2 linked regions of the Ovis aries genome follow. The protein of the gene in region 2 interacts with the protein of the main gene of each other region in a biochemical or structural test. Links are inferred from orthologs where the notes say so. Each region holds a gene or a part of one and is shown on either strand. Other genes may lie near its edges.

What was found.
Region 1: the proteins of RNF11 (region 2) and ZFYVE9 form a complex in vitro, tested with the Homo sapiens proteins (2 studies listed by BioGRID). The link is inferred for Ovis aries from reciprocal best matches to the Homo sapiens genes RNF11 and ZFYVE9.

The regions. Positions count from the first base shown.
Region 1 is NC_056054.1:26,592,818-26,604,294, reverse strand, and holds the start of ZFYVE9 (zinc finger FYVE domain-containing protein 9), read right to left. Parts: upstream 7,731-11,477; 5' UTR 7,620-7,730; intron 1-7,619. UniProt on the Homo sapiens protein: Early endosomal protein that functions to recruit SMAD2/SMAD3 to intracellular membranes and to the TGF-beta receptor.
Region 2 is NC_056054.1:25,680,488-25,691,964, reverse strand, and holds the start of RNF11 (RING finger protein 11), read right to left. Parts: upstream 6,259-11,477; 5' UTR 5,771-6,258; coding exon 5,648-5,770; intron 1-5,647. UniProt on the Homo sapiens protein: Essential component of a ubiquitin-editing protein complex, comprising also TNFAIP3, ITCH and TAX1BP1, that ensures the transient nature of inflammatory signaling pathways. Promotes the association of TNFAIP3 to RIPK1 after TNF stimulation.

The sequences.
Region 1 (11,477 bases), about 910 kb from region 2:
AAGGGGACATTTCATGCAAAGATGGGCACAATAAAGGAGAGAAACAGTATGGACCTATCAGAAGCAGAAGATGTTAAGAAGAGGTGACAAGAATACACAGAAGAACTATACAAAAAAGATCTTAATGACCTGGATAACCATGATGGTGTGATCACTCACCTAGAGCCAGACATCTTGGAGAGTGAAGTCAAGTGGGCCTTAGGAAGCATCACTATGAACAAAGCTAGTGGAGGTGATGGAATTCCAACTGAGCTATGTCAAATCCTAAAAGATGATGCTGTGAAAGTGCTGCACTCAATATGCCAGCAAATCTAGAAAACTCAGCAGTAGCCACAGGACCGGAAAAGGTCAGTGCTCATTCCAATCCCAAAGAAAGGCAATGCCAAAGAATGTTCAAACTACCACAAAATTGTACTCATCTCACATGTTAGCAAAGTAATGCTCAAAATTCTCCAAGCTAGGCTTCAACAGTACGTGAACTGAGAACTTCCAGATGGTCAAGCTGGATTTAGAAAAGGCAGAGGAACCAGAGATCAAATTGTCAACATCAGCTGGATCATAGAAACAGCAAGAGAGTTCCAGAAAAACATCTACTTCTGCTTCATTGACTATGTTGAAGCCTTTGTGTGGATCACAACAAACTGTGGAAAATTCTTAAACAGATGGGAATACCAGACTACCTTACTTGTCTCCTGAGAAACCTGTATGCAGGTCAAGAAGCAACAGTTAGAACCACACTAGGAACGACGGCTGGTTCAAAATCAGGATAGGAGTACATCAAGGCTGTATACTGTCACCCTGCTTATTTAACTTATATGCAGAGTGAAACTGAAACTGAAGTCGCTCAGTCGTGTCTGACTCTCTGCAACCCCATGTACTGTAGCCTACCACGCTCCTCCATCCATGGGATGGATACTGGAGTGGGTTGCCATTTCCTTCTCCAGAGGATCTTCCCAACCCAAGGATCGAACCCGGGTCTCCTGCATTGTAGGCAGACGCTTTACCGTCTGAGCCACCAAGGAAGCCTCTTATATGCAGAGTACATCATGCAAAATTCTGGGCTGGATAAAGCATGAGCTGGAATCAAGATTGCCAGGAGAAATATCAATAACCTCAGATATGCACATGACACCACCCTTATGGCAGAAAGCAAAGAGGAACTAAAGAGTCTCTCGGTGAAGGTGAAAGAGGAGAGTGAAAAAGCTGGCTTAAAACTCAGTACTGAAAAAACTAAGATCATGGCATTAAGTCCCATCACTTCACGGCAAATAGATGGGGAAACAATGGGAACAGTGACAGATTTTATTTTCTTGGGCTCCAAAATCACTGCAAATGGTGACTGCAGCCATGAAATTAAAAGACGCTTGCTCCTTGGAAGAAAAGCAATGACAAACCTAGACAGCATATTAAAATGCAGAGGCATTACTTTGCCAACAAAGGTCCATATAGTCAAACCTACAGTTTTTCCAGTAGTCTTGTATGGATGTGAGAATTGGATCATAAAGAAGGCTGAGTGCCAAAGAATCCATGCTCTTGAACTATAGTGTCGAGAAGACTATTGAGAGTCCCTTAGACTGCAAGGAGATCAAACCAGTCAATCCTAAAGGAAATCAACCCTGAATACCTACTGGAAGGACTGATGCTGAAGCTGAAGCTCCAATACTTTGGCCACCTGATGCCAAGAGCCAACTCAGAAAAGACCCTGATGCTGTGAAAGACTGAAGGGTAGGAGGAGAAGGGGACGACTGAGGATGAGATGGCTGGATGGCACCACCAACTCAAAGGACATGAGTTTGAGCAAGATCCAGGAGACAGGGAAGGACAGGGAAGCCTGGCATGCTGTTAGTCCATGAAGTCGCAAAGTCGGACACAACTGAGCCACTGAACAACAACAAAAAGATTATATGCTGAAATTTTGTATATTCACAATAAATACAGCATATAATTTCTCCTACTAGATGCTATACAATTATTAATCATCCCAGGCTTCATTGATATTTATGATGACCTTCAATTTACCAATGTTAATAGCTTTTTGATCTTTACTCTCTTGATTTTGTAGCATTTCCATCAAGACTCCTTAGAAGAACTACTGAAAATTTTGCACTTCAACATTGAGTACACTCAAAATAGAGTAGGAGAACACTCTTGGGCTAAGAGCTTTTGCAACAAGGTATATGGTATATGGTAAAGTTCAGTGGCCGGTAGTGGACAGCACCATCTGTCAGGCTAGAGTTCAGTGACTAAAAATGTATGTGAGCAACATGCATATGGAAAATTTAAGGATATACTGAAATAGTGTTTTATATATCCTTGAATGTTATTTTATTTAACAAAAATTTTCATAAAATAGTTAATAAATTACATTCCATGTACCTATTTATTTGGGAGGGAAGAACAACAGTAATATTATTTATTGTCCACTTACTATGTACCAGACATTATTACAAGTGATTTAGAGGTATTAAACCCTTAATCCTCTTATGAACACTAAATACTAAGGTATAGAATTAAGTCCCTCAGAATGTACACATACCACAGGAAGGTAGAGAATTTGTCTTAATCCTCCTTGTTTTATCATTGGCATCCAAAATAGTGTCTGGCATACAGAAAGCACTCAAATATTTGTTGGACGAATAATGAGGAAATGGAGGCAAAAAAAGCTAAATAACTTGCACAAAGTCATACACAGTAACAAAGCCAGGATTTGAACCCAGGCATCCTGGTTTCATAACTCAGAGTCTTAGCCACTAGTTATGTATACATTTGGAAACAACATTCCTCTTTCACTTGTTTTTTGGCATTTAGAAGTATTTGAAGTATAAAAATGCTCTCATGAGCTATAAGTTGTCCTTATTCTTTTTGCTAATAAAAGAAACTCTAGTTTAACAACATCTAAATACTAGATCATAGTATGTCTGAATTACTTAATGCTCCCAATACAGGTGATAGTAATGAGAGCAGAGCAAGGAAAAAGAGATATACATCAATGGGTAACTATAATGGACTTTTAAAATATACACATGCCTACTGTTATATTCACACAAAGGTTATTTAATGTAGCATTAGAATCAATCAGCACTATACAAAGCAGTGTAAAATGGGGCATGTGTATACACCTGGGTTTGCCACAGTCTTAAAACAGCTGAACAGCACTCCATTACATGTATTACAATTTAACTCTCATCCCTTTCAACATACATCTAGATTGTCTTCATATTTTTATAACTATATACAATATAATGAATATCTTTGTACACATACATTTACACCTCAATATGCAATAAATCCCTACAAGTGGAATTTTAGACAAAAGTATTACACAGACTGAATTTTAATAAATGTTGCCAAAATTTCCAAACATGCTGTGCTTATTTCTATTTCTGTGTAAAATTCTTTCTATAAGTTCATCATTATTATTACCCATCTTTACCAATTTCACAGTAGAAGCAATGGAACCTGATATCTCACTTAGTATTTTTTATTAATTTTTTATTTCTGGCTGCACTGGGTCTTTTTTGCTACCTGTGGGCTTTCTCTAGTGTGCGAGTATAGGGTTCTTGCTGTGATGGCTTTTCTTGTTGCAGAGCACAGGCTCTAGGGATGTGGGTTTCAGCAGCTGCAGCTTACAGGCTCAGTTGCCCTGTGGCATGTGGAATCCTCCCAGACCAGAGAAAGCAGACTCTCAACAACTGGACTACCAGGGACATCCTTCTAACTTGTATTTTTAATTATGAGTAAAAGCTGAACATCTATTTATCTATCATATGCTTATTGGCTTTTTTGTCTACATATAGGCATATATATATATAGGTTGGGTTAGTCACTCAGTCATGTCCGACTTTTCGCAACCCCAGAGGCCTGGCGGGCTCCTCTATCCACGGGATTCTCCAGGCAAGAATATAGGAGTGGGTAGGCATTTCCTCCTCCAGATCTTCCTGACCCAAGGACCTAACCTGGGTCTCCCACATTACTGGTAGATTCCTTACCATCTGAGCCACCAGGGAAGCCTACACACACACACACACAGACACACACAGACACACAGACACACACACACACACAGACACACACACACACACACACACACACATATATATATTAAGCCACCAGGCTCCTCCATCCTTGGGATTTTCCAGGCAAGAGTACTGGAGTGGGTTGCCATTGCCTTCTCCAATATATACACACAGACACACACACAATGTTTGGAGTTGTTTTTATTTAAATTTATCTTTAATTGGAGGATAACTGCTTTACAATATTGCATTGGTTTCTGCTATATAGCAATACAAATCAGCCATAAGTATACATATGTCCTCTCCTTCTTGAACCTCCATTACACCTCCTACCCCATCTCACCCCTAGAGGTTGTCACAGAGCACCAGATTTGAGCTTCCTATGTCACACAGCAAATTTCTACAGGCTTTCTAGTTTTACACATGGTAATGTATATATTTCAATGCTATTGTGTCAGTTCATCCCCCCTCTTCTTCCCTCACTGTGTCTACAAGTCTGTTCTCTGTCTGCATCTCCAATATTGCCCTGCAGACAGGTTCATCAGTTCCATATTTCTAGATGCATTAATATATGATATTTGGTTTTTTTATAACTAACTTCACTCTGTATAATAGGCTCTTGTTCATCCACTTTATTAGGATCTCTATTCCAGTTTAATGCTTATTCTTTTTTTTCTACTTGGAAGTCATCCATTTTTTTGTAATCAAATTCATCAGTTTCCTTTATGGTTTTTACATTTCACATCATGCTTAGAAAAGCCTTTCTCATTCCAATATTATAAAAATGTTAACATATGTTTTCCCTGCTATTTTCATGGCTATTTTTGTTTCACTCTTTCATTGTCTAGAATCTATTTTGGCAGTAAAAGTTCTGTAACTTGCTTTTCTCATTCCAAAATAAATCCTATATAACTTTCCACATCATACTTCATTTATTTATCTATGCATATAGAATTTTTAAATATTCCTATATCATAGCTTATTTAAATGTTTAATAATTATATAGAGCTATACATTAGTGAACAAGGCTGAGTGCCGAAGAATTGATGCTTTTGAACTGTGGTGTTGGAGAAGACTCTTGAGAGCCCCATGGACTGCAAGGAGATCCAACCAGTCCATTCTGAAGGAGATCAGCCCTGGGATTTCTTTGCAAGGAATGATGCTAAAGCTGAGGCTCCAGTACTTTGGCCACCTCATGCGAAGAGTTGACTCATTGGAAAAGACTCTGATGCTGGGAGGGATTTGGGGCAGGAGGAGAAGGGGACGACAGAGGATGAGATGGCTGGATGGCATCACCGACTCGATGGACGTGAGTCTTAGTGAACTCCGGGAGTTGGTGATGGACAGGGAGGCCTGGCGTGCTGCGATTCACGGGGTCGCAAGGAGTCGGACACGACTGAGCGACTGAACTGAACTGATACATTAGTTATGTTAGTAGTTATTTACAGTACTGATGAGCATTTACATTTTCTATTTTTCAACAAGTACCAAGAATGCTGCCATGTAAGTGCCTCCTTACACACATGTTTTTTTTAAGATACATATTAAGAAATAGGATTATTGAGTTATTAGTATGTGTCTTCTTCGCTATTCATAAACTACCCTAAAAATGATATGCCTAATACATTTTCATTTTAAGAATTCATTCAACAAATAGTTAAGACCTTTTTTAGGCTGAGCATACAGCATAATGGTAACCAATTCAGACAAAGGCACCACTTTGGTGATTAAGAATTCAGGCTCTAGAAAGAGGGAGGGCTCAAATGTATATTTATGGCTGATTCACACTGTTGTACAGCAGAAGCCAATACAACATTGTAAAACAATTATCCTCCAATTAAAATAAATTTTAAAAAAAAAAGAGTACAGGCTCTAGATATAGGTTGCCTGAATTCAAATTTGGGCTTAGTAAGTACTGAATGTCTGACCTTGGACAAGTTTCTCTATCCTTGTGCCTCAAGTACCTTAACAATAAAACAATAATAATAATAGTACCCACCTCACTAGGATTATTGTAAAGACTGTTGTGCCTGCCACAGAGAAAGTATTCAATAAAGTTGTCTTGTAATTATTACTTAAATTTGCTCTAACCAACTTTCTTGCCAATGAGAGAGGTGAAAATATCATTTTACTATTTAATCACCATTTCTCTGATTATCGATAAGACTGACATACATTTTATCTTTTTTACTTTCTATTCTGTGATCTGTTCAGATCTCTTATCCGTTTCTTCTATCAGGATGTTTTGCACTCTTCTTAATGTGACACTAGATGAGATGCAAATATTTCATAGCATGATGCCTAAGCTCTGACCCACAACTGTGGGGTTCTATTTGTGGCCAAGTTACAAGAATAGCAGTGCTGACTACTGTCCTGCTAAGAGAATTTCATGTTCTGCTCTCTAAAAAGATTTCTGAGTGCTTAGATTCAGGGGAAGAAGGTAAGGAATACTCTTCAGGCAATGGAAAGTAAAAGCTAAAGGCAAAGGGATGGTTTCTATCTTATCTACTCTTGTTTCCTTAACATGTGGTACAGGGCCTGACACATAATGGACTCTGGATAAACACATATTGTTTGAATGAATGCAAAATCTCCTTACTAGGTTACAAGCTCCTTGTGGGCAAGGATGGCATCATACCTATGTTGGTATCACTCCCACAATACCTAACAGTGTTTTTACACAGAGGAAGTACTCAATTGTTTTTACTGAAGAGACTGCTATCTCTGAACCTGTGTGATAGCAGCTGAGGTAATCAATGAAAAACAAACAATCCCTTCCTCATATAAAGATTAGACTCTGATTTGCAGCTGTAGAAGCTCTGTATGGAGCTGTTGTTTAGGACTCTGGTGTTGTTTAGGTCACTTCTTGAATTCACCATCTGTTTCAAGTCTTTGTTCTAGGAAAAAAAAAATGTCCCTGGCAGTTACTATGCTGTGAGCCCACGTAGGTGCTGCTGAGACCACGTCCGTGCAATGTGTCTCAAGCTTTAGTTTCCCTCCAAATTATTCCTTCTCAATGCGTTATTTAGAAATAAGTCCAGACCAGCGCACTAGACACAGTCGTTTGGGTCTCCTGATTCCTCGTCCCACATGCCCTGCCTGACAGAGCTCTCTGCTTTGCTAAATGCTGTGAGGCTGATTATTTTCCGGAATATCACTCTTGGTGATCTAGGCTTGTAGTCTCATGTGAAACAGTGAGACAATGGCATAATGGAAGAAGTGCAGGATCCCTGGAGCCAGACGATCTGGGTCTGCATATTAACTCAGCCATTTACTACATCACCTAAATATCCCTAAGTCTCAGTTTCCTTAAGTTTTCAAATGGGAATAACAGCAATACTATATCTAACCCACCTGGGTCACAAGACTGCAATAAGAGTTATAAAATTAGATTAAAATGCAGAAATATTTTATAAAGTATTCTACAATTCTATGTCACTACTATATGAAATAGGACTCAAAGACTACACTAAAAGAATCCCACCAGACAATTCATAAGAGCAAGGATCATTCATGTCTGACTGGGTCATAGCTGCATCTCCACAGCCTGGCATATTTGTTGAAGGAAAGACTAAGAGAATAGAAAATGAAAAGAGCACCTACCAGTGACCTTCATCAAGTTAATAAAGCTCTGGGTTTCAATTTGCTCATTTGATACCACTTATGTCAAAAGATGTAACATCAAGGATACTTTTCTATTTCCTTCTTCCTCCAAAGCCAGATATACTTTAGGACCTGGTTGTATAAAAAGTAGATACTCTTAGTAGTTTAATAATAATGGGTACTGACTCAAATTATTCTAGAGATAGTCAGGAACATTACACTATCATCTGCCCTCTATTCTCACTAAAAATTAATACTGGCTAATCAGACAGAGAAAGATAAATATCACATGAAATCACATATATGGAATCAAAAAATGATACAAGTTAATTTATTTATAAAACAGAAATAGACTCACAGACATAGAAAACAAACTTATGGTTACCAAAAGGGTAAGGAGCAGGAAGGATAAATTAGAAGCTTGAGATTAACAGATATACACTGCAATATATAAAACAGATAAAAAGAACCTACTATATACAACAGAGAAATAAATTTACTATCTTATAATAACCCATAATGGAGAGAATCTGAAAAACAAATATATATATATATACACATACACACACATTTTGAAACTGCATCACTATGCCGTATACCTAGAACTAACCTTAACACTATAAATCAGCTATACTTAAATAAAAAGTTTAGGAAAAAAAAATCAGTACTGGCAAAGTCATTATTAAATACTTTATCTCTGCCATGTTTAAACTGCTTCAGTTCACTCAGACTCACATATACATAAACCCTTAAAATGAACCACTGCCGTAGTAAAGTTAAGTCTTCTCAGACACAAGTGCATCTTTATGTAACCTAGACAAAATAACCTCTGGTGCTCAGCCATGTCCGATTCTGTGACCCTATGGACTGTAGTCCACCAGGCTCCTCCGCCCATGGAATCTTCCAGGCAAGAATACTGGAGTGGGTTGCCATTTCCTTCTCCAAGGGATCTTCCCAACCCAGGGATCAAACCCGTCTCTTGTGTCCCCTACACTGGCAGGCGTAATTTTTACCACTGCACCACCTGGGAAACCAAGACAAAATAACTTACTACTAGTCAAAACCATTTAAGCATCAAAGCCACATCAAAACAAATTCCATTTATTGGTCACAGTACATAAAATGGGAATAATGTTTACTGAGTTACCAAAAGTGTCCACATACATAGCATCCAATTCACATTATGCAGCAGAATTAAAGCTAGGGCACCTCACAACAGAGCGCCAAAATACATGAAGCATAAACTGACAGAACTGAAGTAAGAAACAGACAATTCAATAATAAGAGTTGTATGTTTCACTACCCCACTTTCAATTGTGGAGTAGGGAGAAGATTAGTAAAGAAAAAGAAAACATGAACGCTGTATGCCAATTAGACCTAAAGACCTCTACAAACACTCCATCCAACAACAGCAGGATATACATTCTTCCCAAGTGCACATGATTAGGAGAGACCAGGTTAAGCCATAAAACAAGCCTCAATACATTAAGAAGGAATGAAATCATACAAAGTATGCTTTCTGACCACAATGGAATGAAAGTAGAATTTCCTTTGAAATTCAAAACTATATGAAAACTAAGCAACACACTAAACAAACATGTCAAATTATAAATCACAAGGAATATTACAAAATACTTTCAGGTGAAATGAAAATACTTTAAGAAACCAAATACAACATACCAAAAGTTATGGGATACACTGAAAGCAATGCTTAGAGGAAATTTTATACTATTTTAAACATCTACTTTTTTTTAAAAAAAGTAAAATTACAAATAGTAACTTTCTACCTTTAGAAACTAAAAATAAAACAAGGAGGGGGGCAGGAGGCAAACTAAACCCAAAGCAAGCAGAAGGAAGGAAATAATAAAGATTATGAAACAGAGCATGACCCTGTGGGGCCCTCCAGGATACAAATCTTTTCTGTGTCTCCCATCTCTTGTTTGCAGGAAAGAGGTTTCATTCAGCCTCCCTGGTCTTCCCTGAGTTCCAAAGGGCAGATTCAAACAGTTGCTTATCGGGAAGGAAGGGCAGAAGGAAAAGGAGCAGTCAGGAAGCGATAGTACAGCCGTGGCGCAGTCCTGGTTCCTCCTCAAGGAACATATATATAACAATGCCTTCGAGTTCTTCTGTAGGAACTAAAGCCCCCACACAGGTGGAGGGTGGCAACTTCACACTAAACACAAGACTCCTGGAACACCACTCTGTTACCTCATCACCAACCAATCAGAGGTAAGTCTGTACACGGTAGAAGATAATAAAGGCTCTGACCCCCTCCCCAAATGATTCTCCCTTTAAAATCTTTAATGGCTGAGCAGGATCTTCAGAGTTGGTTTTAGAGTTCGCCTTCTCCCCCGGCTGTCAACCTCCTGAATAAAGCAATCACACATTTTCAAACCAATACTTGCCTCTCTCTACTGATTTGTTGCCAGTGTAGCAACCGTAGGAGTTACAAAACTGGAACTCCAGTCTGGCAGTCCAGGCAAACAAAGGGAAGACGGGATGCCTGGGGCTTCCCAGGGGCTCATTCTATTGGTGAATTCAAAACATAACGTAAGAAACTAAAGGCAAAGGAGAAAAGGAAAAACATACCCATTTGAATGCAGAGTTCCCAAGAACAGCAAGGAGAGATGAGAAAGCCTTCCTCCATGATCAGTGCAAAGAAATAGAGGAAAATAATTGAATGGGAAAGACTAGAGATCTCTTCAAGAAAATCAGAGATAGCAAGGGAACATTTCATGCAAAGATGGGCACAATAAAGGGCAGAAATAGTATGGACCTAAACAGAAGCAGAAGATATTAAGAAAAGGTGGCAAGAATACACAGAAGAACTATACAAAAAAGATCTTTATGACCCAGATAGCCACGACGGTGTGATCACTCACCTAGAGCCAGACATCCTGGAATGTGAAGTCAAGTGGGCCTTTGGAAGCATCACTACAAAGCTAGTGGAGGTGATGGAACTCCAGTTGAACTATTTCAAATCCTAAAAGATGATGCTATGAAAGTGCTACAATCAAAATGACAGCAAATTTGCAAGACTCAGCAGTGGCCACAGGATTGGAAAAGGTCAGTTTTCATTCCAATCCCAAAGAAAGGCAACGCCAAAGAATGCTCAAACTACCCCACAATTGTACTCATCTCATGCACTAGCAAAGTAATGCTCAAAATTCTCCAAGCCAGGCTTCAACAGTACGTGAACCATGAACTTCCAGATATTCAAGCTGGGTTTAGAAAAGGTAGAGGAAACAGAGATCAAATTGCCAATATCCACTGGATCACTGAAACAGCAAGAGAGTTCCAGAAAAACATCTACTTCTGCTTTACTAACTACACCAAAGCCTCTGACTCTGTGGATCACAACAAACTATGGAAAATTCTTAAAGAGATGGGACTACCAGACCACCTTACCTGCCTCCTGAGAAATCTGTATGCAGGTCAAGAAGCAACAGTTAGAACTGGACATGGAACAAAAGACTGCTTCAAAATCGGGAAAGGAGTACATCAAAGCTGTATATTGTCACCCTGCTTATTAAACTTATATGCAGAGTAAACATGAGAAATGCTGGACTGGATGAAGCACAAGTTGGAATAAAGTTTGTTGGGAGAAATAGCAATAACCTCAGAAATGCAGATAACACCACCCTTATGGCAGAAAGCAAAGAAGAACTAAAGAGCCTCTTGATGAAAGTGAAAGAGGAGAGTGAAAAAGTTGGCTTAAAACTCAACATTAAGAAAATAAGATTATGGCATCTGGGCCCATGACTTCATGGCAAACTGATGGGGAAACAATGGAAACAGTGTCAGATTTTATTTTTCTGGGCTCCAAGATCACTGCAGATGGTGACTGGAGCCATGAAA
Region 2 (11,477 bases):
AAGGCATACATATATACTGGTTTGATCAAAAAGTTCATTTGCATTTCTCTGTCACATCATTCAAAAACTCAAATGAATTTTTTGACCAACCCGAAAGATTATATAGCAAATGTCAGTCTGACTAGAGTACAGATTTTATGTGCGTGTGTGTGTGTGTTCAGTCACTCAGTTGTGTCCGACTCTTTGAAGACTCCACTGACCCACCAGGCTCCTCTGTCCACAGAATTTTCCAGCAAGAGACTATAGAGTGCGTATTTGTGTGAGTGTGTCGGGGGGCAGTTGGCCTTTGGACAGATGTCTGCCACCCTACCTCCCCAGACACCAGCATCTGTAGCAAACTTTCCTTTCAAAAAAAAAAACAAAACACCAAACTCTAGTGGGTTGCCACTTCCTTCTCCAGGCGATCTTCCCAACCCAGGGACTGAACCCTCATCTCTTGCATCTCCTGCATTGGCAGGCAGTTTCTTTGCCACTGTGCCACCTGTAATTTCATATGAGACTACAAAAGCTGGGAAAGTATAAAAGAAGTCAGATTATAACTCTGAATGCTAAGATAGGTCTTTAGTGATGAGTCATGAAGAATCATTAAGGATTAAGAGGCAAGGGAATCTGATCTGGACAGAATCTACTGAATAACAATGGATGAAATGAATGGGGAGAAGAGCAGACATTAAACATCAAATTGTGAGAGGTCATGAAGACCTCAGTTGCAGTGGTGATGGTCTAAGAGGGAGAAGGCAGAGTTCTAGGTCTATAATGTGTAAGCTGCCATTCTCCTCTACTGAGAAACTTTTAAAATCTGAACACATCATTCTCACTTTTAAGAAAATTGTGATCTGGAAAAATAATAAATGTTAAAGCATCAAGAACTAATTAATAAGGTAATATATGATTTCCAGATAAATATTACACGGAAAAAGTACTGTACTGGAAGAAATCAAGAGAGGGAAAAATGAAAGTGGAAGCTTTATTAAAGAGGTTGTAGTTGATCTGCACCTCAATGAAAAGGTAGAACTTTAAGAGGGGAGGGATAAAATCTCACAAACAATTCGATTAGTAAGAGTAAGATATGTTAAATAATTTGTTTATTAAGAGTAAGATATGTGAGATACATTGAGGTAGTTTTCAGCAAAATGGTAAACAAAATACTAGTACATTAAAAATAACACACAAAAAAACCCTCAAAACCTCAATTACCTGAACTTCATAAAGATATCAAAAAAACAAGGTATTATTTATTACAGGTTCGAAAGCTTAAAAATAAGTATTTTCTTAGTCTAGATTTTTAAACGAGAGAGAGTAAAGGAGAGACCACGCCTTAAAAAAACAACTTTCAGTCAGTTTGAAATATCCAAAATGTTATGTTTGTTATTTGTGAAAGAAGCTCCTCAAGACGTAACATAATCTGATAAACCCTCTTCATAGTCTACATATAAGTAACAACCAGGATATGTACTCAGACCCATCTGACTCCAAAACCAGAGCTACAACTGCACTCAGTGCTGTATTATAATTTTTCTTCTGATTTCAAAATCTCATATGTATTAATCACAAAGTGCAGGACAGAAGAGATCAGTAAATCTCAAACTACTGAACATACAACTGATGCAAAACTGAGAGATACCATTTTGTGCAAATATATACCTATTCAGATAAAAATACTGTAAAGAGCTTTTTTGCAGAGGAATGGGGGTCTTTGAGTGACTAGTGGTTTTTCAATTAGTTCACTTACACCTTCCAAGGCTGGGCTATCTTACCTGGCCCTTTCCTCAGCCTTTCATGACTTATCTTCCTTCTAACAACCCTTCTAAGACTGTCCTTGATGGGTAGATTTCCTTTGTATTCTTTTTAAAAATTCCTTCCTTAAAGAGTAGATGGTATGTCAAATTTCTTGTTTTTAATCTTCTAATTCAAGAACAGCTCTAACCTCTTATCTCAGATTTCTTTAAGGACAAGAATTCACATTCTTTCTCATAAACATTTTGTTAAGATTACAAAGGGTTGAAAAAAATTACACTATTTTATCAATGATTATTTTAAACCAGTTACTATATTTAGTATTATTGGGATTAGATTTTTAGGATTGATTTCTTAAAAATGACCCACAATAAAGGAAAAAGGCACTAGGAATATGCATAATTTTTATAAGACATTCAATTGCATTTGCCTCAAAATAAATATATTAATTCATTTAAAGGAAATCCAGTCTTCAACCAGTAACTGAGTGCCTGTTATGTCCCGGCACTATTCTAGGCACTTGGGAAACCACAATTTTTTTTAACACTCCCTTTTCTTCATGGAGTTTACCACCAGCAGGAGAAACAGATAATAATAAATAATGTTAGAAAATGATAAATGCTATGGGAAAATAACAGAACAAGGTAAGCTTAGCAGAGAGCTAAGGTAAATGCAATTTTAAATAGGGTGGTCAGAGAGGATTTAAGAAGGTGACACAATTTGAGTAAAAACTTGAAAGGAAAGGAGTCAGCCATGATGATACCTGGGGGAAAAGTACTCAAGGCACAGAATCAACAAGGGCAAAAGTTCTGGTGTATCCTAGAACAAAGAGGCCAGAGAGGTTAAAGAGAAGCCAGCACGGGTAGAGTAGCAGCAAGGATAAAGAGAGCTACGTATGCGGGCAGAGAGTACAGATCATGTAGGGTTTATGGGACACTAAGGAATCTGGATTTTACTTTGAATGAAATGAGGATTCACAGAAAGTTTGGTAGAGTGTCATGATCTATTTTACCAGAAACAATCTGGATGACAGATTAAATATAGATTAAAGGGAGAGCAAGGGTGAAAGGAGTGAGACCAGTGAGGAGGCTACAAAAGAAACCCAGGAGAGAAATATGTATTTTCCATAAACTTGACCACAGTTTATTTATGCTTACTTTCAAGCATAAATAGATAAAACAAATCTCAGATCCTGCTAATAGGAAATAATTGGATCTTATTGAAGTTTATTATAGAGCTCTTGGCATATATATGTACACACATCTTTTAACTACTCACTGCAGAATACCAAATGCGTTCCTTTACAATCAGTTATTCTCTGAATTTTTAAAACATCCTTTTGTAGCTGAAACTATTCTTTAAAGAAATAAGCCAGTATTTCTATAGCTGTCAATTATATACTATTTTTGAAGAAAAAATAAGTTACTTCTGTTCATTAAAAGTATAAATTATTTATCTTGGATTGGTGTTTCTCAGACAATCTGAATTTTACATTCCTAACACATATTTTACATTCCTAAAACATTTCAGTTCCTTCAGGTAAGACAAATTTTTACAAAAGTTTCTCTTTTTATACTTTTATCTTTGAAGAAATTACTTTCTTCAAATTGATACCAAAGTTGCCTATCAGTATCTGGGTTGTTCATTTCAGGAAAAGGAAACCACGAAAAACTCCCATTGTCACAAACATTTCAAAAAGACCTTTCTACCTGATACCAAAAAAACCCTCTCTTTATTATCTTATCCTCCTGGAAAAGGCAAATATTGAATACAATCTCCATAAATTCTAAAGAAGTTATTCTTAACAATGTATAAGATATACATGTATTTAAGAGAAAGAGTACAATAAGTTGAAGGTATTTTACTTGCTTATAAGAGGACTAAGGAATATAGGAGATTCTGAAATAAAAACTCGTACCTCTAAAAAATTTTTTTCATGAAATGGAAATAAGCACATTGTCCTATAAACATTTATGAAGGAAATCAAGAGTGAAATTTGAAGGAAAGTAAGAGTGAAACAATTTACTTGCTTCAAAGACTCAGGAAAGCACTTAGATTTGGTTTGGATTTTTAAAGAGACTTCTCCTGTGACAATTCTTTGGAAGAAATGGGTGTGTAAACTTACATAACAATACTCCATTTAAATTCATTAATTCACTCAACATTTAAGTGTTCATGAGCCAGAAACTGCACTAAGCACTGGCGGGTAGTCCCTGTTCTCAAGGGCTTAGAGTTTTCCCTTATTCCAGTTACTGAGCAACTACTATGAAGCCAGATGTTGAGGATACAACAAACAGGAAACAGAGTTCCTACCTGCATTCAGCTTATACTGGAGAAGGAGGGAAATGCCTCAAGAATGAGACACACATCTAACTTAACAAGGACAACATATAAGTGTTATATGCGTTGCTTTTGAAAGTGCAGACACTTCCTTCAGGGGAGACACAAAGAAGGGAGTGATTGATTCAGGGCGAAAGGGAGGGGAATTTAGGAACTTCAGATACAGCTCAGCTGAGTCCTCAAAGAGGATTACACGCTCACCTGCTGACCTTGGGGGAAGGGTTCCAGAGAGAGCAATTGGAACTAAGGCAGAGAGGTGTGAATAAGCTGTTGTGTTTGACAGGCCTGGAATATGAATGTGAGGGATAAATCATGGAGTCTTCTGTAAGCCACATGAAAAGACTGGACTTTACCAGCATATATGAAAGGCCCCTGATGGGTTTTATTCAGAAAACCAGCATTTGTGATCAGGTTTTTCTGGTGTGGTGAGACACTGATTAACATAGGAATGAGAAAAGAATAACACTAGATAATGATGTCACCACATGAAACAACAAAGGAGACTGCCCAGTTAGAAAATTAAACCCCAATCAGGAAAAAAAATTAAGCCACTTAACTATCCAAGTCCTTCTGGTAAAGTTTTTAATCAACATCTTGAAATAGTAGAGGAAAGGTTTATATATATATTATGGATTATAACATCTACCTATCTATTTTGAGTTTTCTAAAGAGGGCTTCAGCTCTTTACAAATCGTGTAAAGACATCTGGAGCTGCTGACTGCTGCACAAAAAGCAGTGAAGTCATTTAGAAGACAAGTCTTTGATACACACGGAGAAACCATGAGTAACAGAAGGTATTTCTCAAGTAAGGTTTAAAGGTTTCCAAAGTTCAAGATAATCAAGTTCTCTAAATCAGCGCGTTTAAAAGGTGTGTCACAGGGGTGGAGCAAAAAGAGGAGGGGTTCAGAATTAATACTGTTGTTGCTGTTCAGTCGCTAAGCTGACTCCTACAATTAGTATAAACACACACACACACATAAATATGTATACATATATATGTAAAGAAGCAACTCCATGTTGCTGGAACCAAAATCACTACTTGAAAATCTCCCAAGCACAGGAAGAAATGAACGCCTACTAAATTCAATGAATACAGACAGACGAGAGGGAGGAGAGGAGGATCACACTTTAAAGTATAAATGGGATGTATGTGTGGTGGGGTGGGGTAGTGGGGGGAGGTTAACCACTTATCCAGAACCCATAATCCAGCCGGTGATGAGGAAATCACCTTCGAACCTCACAATGCACATATAAAGGCATGAAAATATCACTTCCGAACTCCACAATCTAGCCACCAGTCACTGGCCAAGGGGATATAGTCACACACTCGAATCCCAGAACTCAAGGACAGAAGTATCCCCACACTGCTCGAAGGGAGGTGAAGGATTCCCCCTACACTGACGATGGGATCAATCACACTTAAACCCAGCCCTAAGGGGGTCCAGTGCCTCTCAGGCCGGGTGTTGCCGAGGCCAGGGACAGTGACAGACAGCCCCGAAGCCCCCACAATCTCCGCCAGAGCCGCCTCTACTCCTCGCACCCCCCTTCCCCAACACACACCCTCCCCTACCTGATATGGCGGCGGCGGCTCCTGATCCGGCTCCGTCCCCTCGCCAAAGCTGGCCCGGTCGGACTGAGACTCGTGAAGCAGGGAGATGTCATCCGAAGTGGGGGACTTGAGGCAGTTCCCCATCTTCTGGAGCTGGGGTGTGTGATCTGGGGGAGGAAGAAAGCAGTGGCGGGGTCGTTCGCACGCTCCGCGGTCAGCCTCGGTCAGCGAGGTGGGGTCGGGCGGCAGGCCGGGGTTCAGGCGGCAGCGGCTCCCCCGGCCCCCGGCGCCGCCGAAGGGCAGCTCATGCCAGTCCCTGGGGCTGGGGGCTTAAGGCTGGGCCGCGGGTTTCCCGGGGTCGCGGCGGTTGCCTCCTGAGGCGGCGGCAGTGGGGGGGGGGGGCGGGGAGACGAAGCACTTCCCCACCCCGCCCCCCCGCGGGGCGGCGGCGGCCACGGAGCTGCTGGGCCTAATCCAGGTCAGGAGTGGGGGGGCGCAGCCGTCGCGGCTCCCTCAGCTGCTGCCTCAGCTGCTACTGCTGGCCCCGCCGACGCCGGAGCCGCAGCCGCGGGCCTCATCCTACTCCGCTTCGCAGCGGCGGCGGCGGCCAGAACGAGGCCAGCTGCGGCCCTGCGTCACGCCGCCGTGCGTGCCCTGGTCCCGCCCCCGGCGCTGGGAGGCGTGGGTAGCTCCGGCTGTGCTCCCTGCTCCTTTGCCACCCCCCTGCCCCTCCCCCGTCCCCAGCAGCTGTTTCTGGGGCTGCGTCAGTTTCTGCTTCTCTGACAGCCTGGGACGCGATTCCGATACCTCTTTTGGGTCTTCGGTTCCTCCCCACGCGCTCTGCTCCCTCTTCGCTTGTCTCAGCTCTTAACTGTGCGTTGTTTTGACAGTCTTCTGGCCACCTTCTGCCAAGTAATCCATTTTAAAACCCATATCTGAATGGATTACTCCCATGACTAAAATATTAAAATATTCTATCCCTTCAGAATAAAGTCCAAACTCACTACCTCCCCAGTCACTTTGCAATCCTCCTACATCACAGTCAGAAGAATTCTTCAACCGATTATTCTATTTATTTCTATTCTTACCACCATAGTACAAGCTACCGTCATTTCTCTGCTGTAATACTTTGAACTATTTCCCCTGCGTTCGCCATTGCCCCCATTCAATTTACTATTTGTACAGTTATCTTTTTAAAATGTAAATCTGATCAGGTCATTCCTGTAGGAGGAATTTAAGCCTTTTAAAACATTCATTAAAAACTTCCCAATACTGTTATGACTGAAGTATTAATTCTTAAATGGTTTACAAATCTGGCTACCTCCCCAGTCTCATTTGTGGCCTTGTTCCCTCACATATTCTAATCTTTAGGATGTCTGAATAGTTTTCAGTTATCTAGAAGACTATTCCCTCTGGCTGAGGTCTTTACCTATGATGTTTCTCTGACATAAACTCACTTCTCCCCACTCCTGAGCTTATACCTTCCATCAAACTATATCCACACTTGTCCTTCTTGGACTCAACTTTGATTCCACTGGGAAGCCTGTCCTCTAACCCTCCTGTCTGGGTTAGTTACCTCCTCTGTGCTCATAGTCCCTGAGCACTCAGTTCCTGAGTCCCTGTGAGTCTCTATCACAGCCAGATCAAGCTGAATCTGCCCCTCCTCTGTACAAAGACCTGGCACATTGCCTGAGGCAGAATAGCCTTTCTTCTTAACCGAAATAACAAAGAGTTCAAGAGGCAATGTATGTAGAGGGAGGAAATAAGAAAGATGAGAATGCTCTAATATTCATTCAACGAGGGGAAAAGAGGGTCTTGACTGTCTTTTTTTCATTCTTCATTTACTTTTTTTTTTTTTTTCCCCACTAGACTCTATATTAGGCACTAAGGAAATCTGGCTTATTCTTGATGGAGCCCAGAATCCACCTAGGAAGATATGTAAACAGTGAGGTCTCCTGCCACCCCCAGGACAGGTTTCTAGAGGGCACTGCTGCTGCTGCTGCTGCTAAGTCGCGTCAGTTTTGTCCGACTCTGTGCGACCCCATAGACGGCAGCCCTCCAGGCTCCTTTGTCCCTGGGATTTTCCAGGCAAGAGTACTGGAGTAGGGTGCCATTGCCTTCTCCTCTAGAGGGCACAGTAGGGAGTACTTAGAGCATTGGGTGAGGATCAGAAAGGATTCTTGGAAGTAGAACTGTGTTAAAATGACATGTCCTAAATGCTGTAACTTTGAAGTCCTTGTTCTGCAAAATCACATATTTTATTTGAATACACTCATATCACACATTAAATGTAACCATTGTGCTATTTTCCCTCTTTTCCAAGACTTACCTTTCTTCCTGTTAATGGCTCCCACCTGAATAGGTGTATCTGTAATGCCATGTTTGTTATCAGAATCTTTCACACATCCCCAAGAATCATTGCTTAATGCTGTGGCTTGGACAAATAAAATTATTGGATCATTTGGAAGGAAATTTTCAGGTATTTTCTTCTTTTCTCTTATTGCTATTTCCCTGGTCCCCTCTGAACTGTTGTGACAACTTCTTAATGAAGCCCTTGCTTCTGCACCATCTATACATTCTCCACACTACTGTCATGAAGAATGTGATCAGAGAGCGTTCATAGACTTGTGGTTCAGAAATTTAGCATGACATTAAGGCCTTGAACCATTTGGTCCCATCCTGATCTCCACTATGACTTTTTAAATTTTAAATTTATTTTTTAATTGAAGGATAATTGCTTTATAGAATTGTGTTGGTTTCTGCCAAACATCAACATGAATCAGCCATAGGTATACATAAGTCACCTCCCTCTTGAAACTTCCTCCCACCTCCTTCCCCATCCCGCCTATATGACTCTTGACTCCAACCAGGCATCCTATACTCCAGCCACATCATAATACTTACCATGCCCTCAATTTTCACTATGCTTTTCCATTTCTGATCCCTTGCCATGCTGTTCCCTTTTGTTGAAATCCAACTATCTTTTAAGATCGTCCTTAGATGCTACTTTCTTCATATAGCTGCCCTTGATTTCATTTAGTTGAAATATATGTAAAAATATAAAATAAATGGGATCCATTACTATATTATATTCTATGTATCTATTTATGTGTATAGTTTAACATAATTTCTATGTATATACACAGATGTGTGTATATCTGAATATATATGTAAGAATGAATGAAACCATAACTTCCATTTATTAGCCTGAGTCTTGAAAGGTTGATGTTAACATTCCTGTTTTACAGGAATAGAAATATGGCTTCACATGGCTACCCAGGGGGTAAAGCCAGTATTTAAATTATATACCAGTTGCCTCTATTAGGTTGGGAGAGGGAACTACGTCATTTTTCGTTCTGATAGTCTTTTCTCAGTGTATAAAAACAAGAGAATGGGAGAAGACTTATCTTCAATGCCTTTAGCATCCATGTGTACTTTTGTAACGAAGTAGCTATTCAATGATCTTTCTTCCTAATCTAGTTTTAGGAGGGAACATTTGGGAAGTGTCCTGTATACCAGAAAGGGTGATCTAATTACAAAACAATTTTAAATAAAAAAATAACCAACACTATTGAAGTGACAAAGACTCTTCTAGACCCAGCTCTAGTCAGGCTCCTCTAAGCCCTCAAGGCTCTAACTTTGGGCTTTGTGCTTGACCTATTTATTTCAGTTTAGCAAGAATATAGTTGAATTAGCTTAGCCAGAGTCCCTCTCCCTTTGTATCTGACCACCTTGGCCTGCCTTTAGCAGAAATCCTATCAATGTTTTTAGCCAGAATTTTCTTTTATCCCTGATGTTTCCTCTTTGTAATTTTCCATCCACTGTCCCCCACCCTGTTCCTTGCCCATAAATTCCCACTTGTCCTTTTTATATAATATAGAGTGAAGTCTAATTCTATACTGAGTCTCTTGTCTCCTATTGCAACAGGTACTGAATAAAATATGCCTTCATTGCTTTGTCTGATTCTTGTTTTCTCTGACCAGGATATCTAACGCAGAAACAGAGATGAAAATCTAGTATCTTCTGTTGAGCCAGATTTTTTTTTTTAATAACACTTTAGACCAGTTTTAGGTTCACATCAAAAAACTGAGCAGAAGGTACAGAGATTTACCATATACCCCTACCCCCATACATGCATAGCCTCCCCCATTATCAACACCCTGCACCAGACCAGCTTATTTGTTTATTTTTGGTTGCATTGAGTCTTCATTGCTGTGAGTATGCTTTCTCTACTTGTGGCAAGTGGGGTCTTTCTAGTTGTGGTGCACGGGCTTCTCCTTGCAGTGGCTTCTGTTGTTACACAGCACAAGCTCTAGGTGCATGAGCTGAGTAGCTGTGGACCATGGGCTTAGTTACTCTGCAGCATGTGAATCTTCCCAGACCAGGGATTGAATCCATGTTCCCTGCATTGGTGGGCAGATTCTTAACCACTGGACCACCAGGGAAGTCCCAAACATTTGTTAAACTGGTAAGCTATCACACAAAATGCTTGTTTATGTTAGGGTTCACTCATGGTGGTGTACATTCTATGGGTTTAGACCAATATATAATTATGTGCACGTACCATTATAATGTCATACAGAATAGTTTCGCTGCCCTAAAACTCTTCTGCACTCAGCCTATTCATTCCTCCTTTGGCAACCACTGATGTCTTAGCAGTCTCCATGGTTTGATTTTTTTCAAAATGTCATATATTTAGTATCTTACAGCATGTAGTCTTTTCACACTTCTTTCACTTAAGTGAAAACTAAGATTCCTCTGTTTCTATTCATGCCTTGATGATTTCTTTTTATCACTGAATAATATTCCACTCTCTAGCTATCTCACAGTTTATTTATTCATTTATCCACTGAAGGACATTTTAGTCGCTTCCAAGTTTTGGCAATTTTGGATAAATCTACTATAAACATCTGTGTATAGGGATCTTTTTCCCAACTATTTTTATTGTAGTAAAATACACAACATAAAATTTACCACCTTAACCATTTTAAGTGTAAAGTTCAATGTTAAATATGTTCATAATATTTTGCAACCATCACCAGCATCCATCTCCAGAACACTTTTCATCTTGTAAAACCAAGTGAAAGTGAGTGAAGTCGCTCAGTTGTGTCTGACTCTTTGCGACCCCATGGACACCAGGCTCCTCCGTCCATGGGCTTTTCTAGGCAAGAGTACTGGAGTGGGTTGCCTTTTCCTGCTCCAGGGAACTTCCTGACCCAGGGATCGAACCCAGGTCTCCCGCGTTGTAGACAGACTGTTTACCACCTGAGCCACCAGGGAAGTCTCCAACTATCCATTAAACAATAATTCTTCTTTTTCCCCTTCCCTCAGCTACTGACAACCACCATCCTACTTTCTGTCTCTGATTTTGACCGCTGTAAGTATTTTATGTAAGTATAATTACACAGCATTTGTACTTTGTGACTGGGTTATTTCACTTAGCATAATGTCTTCAAGGTTCATCCTGGTATAGCATATTGTAGAATGTCCTTCCTTTTTAAAGCTGAATAATATTACATTGTATGTATGTATCGCATTTTGCTTATCCATTCATTCATTGATGGACAATTGGATTGTTTTCACATTTTAGCTGCTATGATCCTGCTATGAACATGGATGTACAAATATCTTTTCAAGACCCTCATTTTAATTATTTGATTATACACCAAGACTGAAATTGCTGGATCATATGGTAATTCTATATTTAATTTTTTGAGTAACTCAGACTGCTTTTCCACAGTAGTTGTACCATTTTACATTCCCTCAAACAATATGTTTGCAGGTTTTTATGTGAACTTGTTTTCAAGTAATTTGGCTTATATCAAGGAGCACAATTGCTGGATTATATGGT